Linked DNA regions of Diceros bicornis minor. The protein of the gene in region 1 purifies or fractionates together with the protein of each later gene. This does not show direct contact. Links are inferred from orthologs where the notes say so. Each region holds a gene or a part of one and is shown on either strand. Other genes may lie near its edges.

The links.
Region 2: the proteins of DNMBP (region 1) and DNM2 purify together in Homo sapiens (co-immunoprecipitation; 3 studies listed by BioGRID and IntAct, with this or other methods). This does not show direct contact. The link is inferred for Diceros bicornis minor from reciprocal best matches to the Homo sapiens genes DNMBP and DNM2.

What each region holds. Positions count from the first base shown.
Region 1 is NC_080745.1:65,372,261-65,376,166, reverse strand, and holds the start of DNMBP (dynamin-binding protein), read left to right. Parts: upstream 1-1,423; 5' UTR 1,424-1,567; intron 1,568-3,906. UniProt on the Homo sapiens protein: Plays a critical role as a guanine nucleotide exchange factor (GEF) for CDC42 in several intracellular processes associated with the actin and microtubule cytoskeleton.
Region 2 is NC_080769.1:8,596,861-8,600,766, reverse strand, and holds the start of DNM2 (dynamin-2), read left to right. Parts: upstream 1-1,389; 5' UTR 1,390-1,421; coding exon 1,422-1,582; intron 1,583-3,906. UniProt on the Homo sapiens protein: Catalyzes the hydrolysis of GTP and utilizes this energy to mediate vesicle scission at plasma membrane during endocytosis and filament remodeling at many actin structures during organization of the actin cytoskeleton.

The DNA.
Region 1 (3,906 bases):
AATTTAGCTCCTCTCAACAAGAGTTCCCACACCCAGCAGAAAACAAGAGGTGTTCTAGCTGTGACAACTCACCCTCTGCAGGAGGCCATACAACATTAGGATTAACAAATTACTTATTTTTCTGTTACTTGAGCAATCTCGCAGTCTGTGGTCAAGAGAAAAACAGAAGAAAATGTATCTTTTGCTGTTTAGAATGAGAATTCTCTCCTCAGGTGATTAACACTTTCTCTACATTTTTTTTTTCTTTCCAATTTTAATCCCAGGTTCCTTGGTTCCCTTCTTGTTGTTATAATAAAGCAGCCACTTGAGAGGGCTTCTTTTCAGTTCAGTGAAACTTTAAGCCTGAGGTTGCCATTTGCACTCGATTTTTCCAAATTGTCTGAATATCACTTTGTTTTCAGGTTCCCTGGTACATAGTCACTTAACAGAGCTGATGTTCGTAAAATACAGTCACAGTGCTTTCCCTGGCACAGCCACGAACATTTCATCGTTCATTCATTCTTGTAGGGGACATTTATGGAGTCCTTGCTCTTAATAAATGCAGAGAATACAAAGAGAAATAAGATATAGCTTGTGATCTCAGAGCAGCCACTGTCTAGTTGGGAAGACAAATAGGTCATTACACTGCATTGTGGTAATTGCTATGATTCAGGAAACTCACAGCTGGGGGCGGGGAGCCTGGGGGAAGGGCCCTACTCTAGTCTTGGGAAGATCAGGGAAGTCATTCCAGAGCTAGTGAAGTCCAATTTGAGATATGTGAGGTCAGACAAAGAGGCACTAGCCGGATGCAAAGAAATGGGGGAGCAATAGGCTAAGGAGGCTGCCAGTGCAGAGGTCAGAGCCCCAAAAGAGTGAGGCGTTCAAGGAACTGCAAGAAATTCAGTGTGATGGGAGAGAGTGAGGTGGGGGGAGCGGGTGCGGCGGCGGGAGCGGGTGAGCTGGTGGGAGCGGGTGAGGCGGCAGCTGGAGCGGGTGAGGCGCCAGCGGGAGCGGGTGAGCTGGTGGGAGCGGGTGAGGCGGCGGCGGGAGCGGGTGAGCTGGTGGGAGCGGGTGAGGCGGCAGCTGGAGCGGGTGAGGCGCCAGCGGGAGCGGGTGAGCTGGTGGGAGCGGGTGAGGCGGCAGCGGGAGCGGGTGAGCTGGTGGGAGCGGGTGAGGCGGCAGCGGGAGCGGGTGAGCTGATGCGAGCGGGTGCGGCGGCGGGAGCGGGTGCGCTGGTGGGAGCGCGTGAGGCGGCACAGGGAGCGGGTGGGGGGGGGCGGGAGCGGGTGAGGCGGCGGCGGGAGCGAGTGAGTTGGTGGGAGCGGGTGCGGCGGTGGGAGCGGGTGAGGCGCTGGCGGGTGAGGTGCGAAAGCTGAGGCCAGTGGGACAGGGAGGCACGAGATCCTGAAGGACCTTTGAACCACATTAGAAAGTTTGGACTTTATCCTGAGAAGAACAAGGAGCCATTGAAGGGTTCTACTGAGGGGAGTGGCAAAATCAGATTTAGAATGATCACCCTGGCTGCGGCCTGAAGAGCTGGCTGGAGCAGAAGCAAGACTGAGTCAGTGCGCAGACTGCTGATTGACAGGTGAGGAGGTGGCCTGAGCCTGGGCAGGGCGACGTGGACGGGGAAACACCAGGCAACTCGGGAGTTACTGAGTCCGTCCTGGATCTCCAGGGAGCTCCCGTCAGCCCCCACGGCTTCGCCGCCCTCTTCAAGACTTCCAGTCTTCTCATTCAGAACCTGCCTGCCTGCCACCCTGAGGATTTTAAGCACTAAAGGAGATGCAGGTTTTCAACCAAACCCTAAAGACTATCCTGAGTAAAATTCACCCACGCTGGAGGTGATTATACAGAGTATTATATGGAAAATATAGAGTCTGGCCGGGTCCGTATGGAAATTTCTCACAGCATATCGAGGAAGGATGTGAAATCACAGCTAATCAGGGAGAGAGAGGGCAGGATTCATAGGACAAGAAGGAAGGTCCTCCGACTTTCTGTCCAGCATTTTCCTGGCTGGTACCCTTTCTATTTTATAGCTAGCATTTTATTTTAAAGAGGAAATCTTCTGTACAGAATACCAGCCTAGATAAATGGGGTTTGCTAAAAGAGTAGACTGCTGTAGTTAAGGGCATGGGTTTTGGATTCTAACAGACCTGGGTTTTAATCCCAGCTCTGCTCCTTATTTGCTGTGTGACCTTGAAAACGTAACTTACCTTCTCTGAGTTACAGTTACTCACTTGGAGTTTATGGGAATTAAAGATGATACTCTCATAAATCAGTAAGGAGGGGAAGGCAGCTCGTCCCCAAGCCCTCCTCAAAAGATTATCGCTGTCAGGCTGGCCGATCCTAAGCCGATGAGTTTAACAGGAACGTCAAGGGTTTAAGGGTGCACAGGGGAGTTTGGAAGTGAGGCAGTCTCCCGAGGGGCTGAACGGAGCCCATTGTGTCTTTTTTTTTTTTGTTAATCTCATGTACTGAAAGTTCTTTATTAGTTCCTTATTCTTCCTGGCACTTTTTCTTCCAAACTGAAGGTTTCATGACACAGGAAATTCTCCTAGGAAAATTTCCAATTTTCAGACGTGATACCTGATGACTTTTGGATCTAATACTGGTTCCCGCAGAAGTTTCTGTTCCTGAGTTTCTGCTCCGATAAGCTGTGACCGCCCTGTCCTTTGACTTGAGTCTGCCTAGCCCTCAGAACAGCGTCTGGCATATATAGACTCATCGTCCATACTTGTCGAGTGGCTGATCTACAGGATTATCTTGACATTTTTCCTCCTTCTCTCCTCTTTCACTATTTTTCTTCTTTTATCTCATTTAACCTTCACAACAACCCTGTACAGTAGATATAAGTATCCCCATTCGTGCCTGAGGAAAGTGAAACTTAGAGAAGGTGAGAAGCTTGTCCAATGTCACACAGTGAGTAAGTGGTGGGAGCCACCATTTGAACCTCTCTTGGGCTTCAGGGCTGCCTTCTTAGCCACTGTGTTACAGGGCCTCATGCTAAGCTCTCAACCTGTGTTCATAACCCCTTTTATTAACACAAGGATCAGGGTAAAGAGTTCTTTAAATCCTTTGAAAATTCCTCTGAAGTTTCTGGATGGTTTCTCCTTTCCCCTCAGCTAGTCCCTCCATTCCCATCTCCTGCGTATTATCAACTACTTGTACTTGCAGATGCAGGAAGCAAAGAGGAACTCTTGTGTGGCAGCCTGTTCCCTGGTCCCAATTTCGCAATCAACGCGTCCTCTTTCCCTCTTTTCTGGTTATACCCTGCTCCTCATCTACTCTAAAATCAAATGGCTGTTAGGCAGCTGCATACATAAGTGTTGCATGATAAGCCAGTCTATTCAATGCCAAATTCAAACCACTGCAAACCCCCTTGAATAACATACTCTGCTTCAAAAGATTTCACCTCCTTTGTCAAATAGCCTTTAAATAAATCAACATAACCCATCAATATGTCAAATATAACTCAGAGGGAAAAAAAGATCTGTCTTTTAGATACAATTCCCAGGTACAGTAACAACTAAGAATCCATTGATCACGGTACAGTCTCCCTTACCATCCTAAAGCAGACATCCATCTGGCCGGGGGAAGGATCCAGCTAAACCATGCCCAGATTCCTGACCAAAAGAAACTAGGAGACAATACATTTGTGCTCTTTTAAGCCTCTAAATTTGTGCTAATTTGTTACACAGTAATAGAAAACTAATATATAAACTATCTCAAAAATTTTTCTAAGTTAGGTAGGATATAAATAAATAAAATACAAAAAACCAATTGTGATCAGTGAACTGAGTGGTAGAGCTGCCATGCTCCTACCTCAAGTGACTGTATGTAAAACAAAGCCTAGGAAAAAACGAAAACATACTAACTCTTTAAATAAGAGGGCTGGTGTAGTCAACTTTACTCAGTAGGTGACTG
Region 2 (3,906 bases), on another chromosome or scaffold:
GTTAGGGTGTTTCCAGGTTTCTGTGATTGTGGTCAAGGCCGCATTGCCAAAACTTGTTGGTCGTCTTGTTGCCCATTTCTCTGAGACCTGGGGTTATGGGTCAGGGAGCAGGCCCATCTGTTCCCCAAGGGATCAAATCACTTTTCTTAAAATCCTTCCACATATCCCCGGCCTCTTTTCTAAGAGGTTAATGGTTTCGGTTCCCACAACCCCCAACTGTTGCCTGCAAAATAAGGTGTCTTTACCTGGGGAGAGGATCGTTGAGTTTCACCGGGCACTCCAAAAGATCCAAGATGCGCTCAAGTTGAAGAGGCAGGAGAACAACGTTGGAGCGTTAGCCGCAGCAAGACGGGGCGTGAGCGGAAAGTATTCCTAGGAGAGAGCACAGCATTTGCAAAGGCTTAGAGGCGTGACTTTATAGGAATGAAAGTGGGGGCCAGCGATGCAGTGCTAGACCGCCTCTCCCTAAGAACGACTCACATCGCCTGATTCTCACCTTCAAAGCGCGTTGGGACCCCGCGCGGAGAGCTGGTTTGCGAGCCCGGGGCCGAGATGCATTCTGGGACTTGTAGTTTTCTCTCGAGCCCGGAAACTCACACATGAAGATCACCACCGGGTCCCACCACGAGGTGGCGTCCTTAGGCGAGTAAGGTGGGCTTTACCCTGTACTCCAGAAGCCTCTCCAATAGACATACAACAATCCCAAGTCAAAACGGGAGATTTTTTGATTGACAAATGCAGTGATCAATCAGAGTCAGGGTTCAGAGGTTAAAGCCCGCCCTCTTTCGTTTTGTTGGCTGATGGAACGGAGTGATAGTTATATAAACCAATAGGAAGTTTTTAGGGAACTAGGTAGCGTCAAGTGACAAACCAGTGTCTAAGGATCGATCCCTAATATCATTGGCCAGCTTTGTTGACTGGCGGGTCTTCCTGCCAATAAGACTGGCGGATTTTCCTGCCATCGGGAATCCCTCCCTAATAGGCGGCACCAATATGCCTTTTCCCGAAACACCGCCCCCTGGCCTTGACAACTCGCTTCCCGCCGCTATTGGCTCTTGCACAACAGCGACAGCTCTTGCGTCCAATCAGCCCGCGAGAAGGTCCCCCGGGGGAGACTCCCCGCCCGTAAGCCCGTGCCTCGCTTTCATTGGCTCGTGTGCACGAGTGGCAGCCCGGCCGGCCAATCGGAGCCGGCGCAAGAGCTTTGGGCGCAGCCCCGGGGCCCGGGCGGGAGGTCGCTCGGGTCGGGTGTCGCCTGAGAACCGGATGAGGCGGCGACCGTGAGGCCGAGCCGGGAGCGGGCGTTGCGCCGAGGCCCGGGCGTGCGGGGAGCAACGGCCGCGGACTCCGCGGGGCCGCGTCGTTGAGGGCCGGGGGCGGGCGGGGAGCGCGGGGCGCTCGGGCCGGGGGCCGCCGGCGCCATGGGCAACCGGGGGATGGAGGAGCTGATCCCGCTGGTCAACAAGCTGCAGGACGCCTTCAGCTCCATCGGCCAGAGCTGCCACCTGGACCTGCCGCAGATCGCCGTGGTGGGCGGCCAGAGCGCCGGCAAGAGCTCGGTGCTCGAGAACTTCGTGGGCCGGTGAGCGAGCGCGGCGGCGGCGGGCGGCGGGCGGCGGCCTGGCGCGGAGGGCGGACCGGGAATGGCGCGCCGTGCGCCGCCGGCGTAACTGCGGCGCTTGCGTGCCCGCGGCGGGACGGGGACAGGGAGGCGGGCCTGCGGGCGCCCCGGGCGGAGGACTCCCTGCGGGGGCCGGGGGCCGTGTCGCGGGCTGGGGGCGTGGGCCCCGAGGCGCGGTGGACCCCCGCCGGCTCCCCGGTCCCCAGCTTGAGTGGGTGAAATCTACTATCTGGTTGCCGCTGGGTCCGGGGTAGGTCCGCCTTCTTTGCGTCTCTCTATCCGCAACCTGCCAGCTAGATACCTATCGGGCCGACCCCTGCCGTCTGGCTGGCTTTTCATTTATCTGGAGCAGCCCTCGCCGTCTGGTTGGCCCTCACTGCGTCCTGGATAGGCCTCCCTGCCACCACCATTTGGCTGTCCATCTGGCCAGTCCCGCAGGGCAGCCCCCTGCTGTCTGGCTAGCTGTCCAGGGTGACCTGTGCAGTCTGCCTGCCCATCCGTGCCCCTCACAGACTTTAACGCTTAACCATCCATCTGTAGGGTCACCCCAGCTGGCCTCTGGCGTCTGACTGCCTGGCTGGACCCTAAGGGGCCCTGTTGTCTGGCTCGCTTGGCCTCACTTTTCAGCTTGGCTCCTGGCAAACGCTGTCTCCTCTCTTCCAAGTGGATCCTTTTGTCTGTCTGTCCTGGTGTCTGTCCTTTTCCTGGTCTGCCCGTCGGTGCCCTGGCGGCCCCCGACTGTCTGGCCCAAGCTCTGGCAGGGGGTGGTGGGAGCATGCAGAGGAGAAGGGAGCTGAAGGATGAATGTTGAACGCCTTCCTTCTCAGTTGGAAGTAGGACCCCAGTGGAACTTTCTCCAGGATTCTTGCCTGGCCCCTGTCAGGGTGCTCCAGGTCCCCAGAACACAGGGGCCAGCCTCCAGGCTAAAGCTTGCAAATTGGGAGGCCCTCCTTGGAGCCTAGGAAGGAACTTCTTGCCTGCTCAGGCCTCAGTGGCAAGAGCTGGAATACAGCCTTCCCTGGGCAGCCCTGAGAAGCCTCAGTTTGCGCATCTGTCCAGTGGGCAAATTCCACTCTCTGGGCTGTTTTCCAGGATTCAGGAAGCTAATGAATGAGAACAGGCACTGAGGCCACCGAGGGTGGTTAGTTCGCCCCTCTCCCTTCGCCCCTCTCCCTTCGCCCATCTCTTGCCCTTCTGCCTCCCAGATGGGCGGCCACTTCTCCATTCTGGGAAGGACTCCATTTGTGACCGTGGCTGCCACATGATACCATCATAGTCATCAGTCTCATCGTTATTATTACTGTTGTTGTCAGTGTTATGAGGTCACGTTCATCCAGCAGGCCTAGTGCTGAGTTCTTTCTTGGTTTGGTATCTTGATTCCCACCATCAGCGGGTGGGGTGGAGCTTCTGTCATCCCCGCCTTAGAGATGAGCGGGGAGGCTCAGAAAGGACTCGCCGTTTGCCCAAGGCCACCGGGCTGGCGCTCAGTGGAGCCCAGCTGGGCACGCACCCCGCCTCTGCCTCCCAGAGGCCTGGAGTTTTGCTCCCAGCGGCACGAATCTCCTCCTCTGCTGCTTTACCTCTGGCGAGCTGCCCTCTGTCCACTGTGGCAGAAAGGTGTGGACTTGGGGTCAGCTGGGGCTGGGCTGATCCTCGGGCCGGGCTGTGGGCCCCTGCGTGCGTGGCCATCTTCCTGCCTGCCCAGGCTTCCAGTGGGCGTCCGTAAAGCTGTCCATTTCATTTGCCTTTGACCTTGCACAGGTTATTTGGTCTCTCTGAGCCTCAGTTTTCCCTCCTAAAAATGGGGTGACGATCCCTCAACAAGACTGTTGCAAGGATGCAGTGAAAGTTCTTCCTTAGCACATAGTAGGTCTACATGGACGGGGCCGGTGTTCACCAGGCTGCTTCCTCTCATGTCGACAACAAAAGCTAATTAGAATTAAGTGCTCTCAGGTAACACACTGGACTTGGTTTAAGCCTTATGAGGCTGGCGCTGCTGTGATTTCTGTTTTACAGAGCAGGAAACTGAGGCTCAGAGAGCTGAGCACGCTGCTTGGGGCTGTTCAGTGAGGAATTGGCGGCTCTGGGGTTGGGGGCCCGGGGTTTCCCTTCCCTCCCCACCTCTCCTCGGTCCCTCTGCCCCTGGCCTTTCTCTTCGTCCCACTCTGGCATCTGGCGACTGCCGGCCACTGCTGAGCTGCCTCCTGTGGCAGCCTCCTTCCAGAAGCCTGCAAAGCGACATCGGTCATTCAGAACATTAATTCAGGGCCCAAAAACCAGAGTTG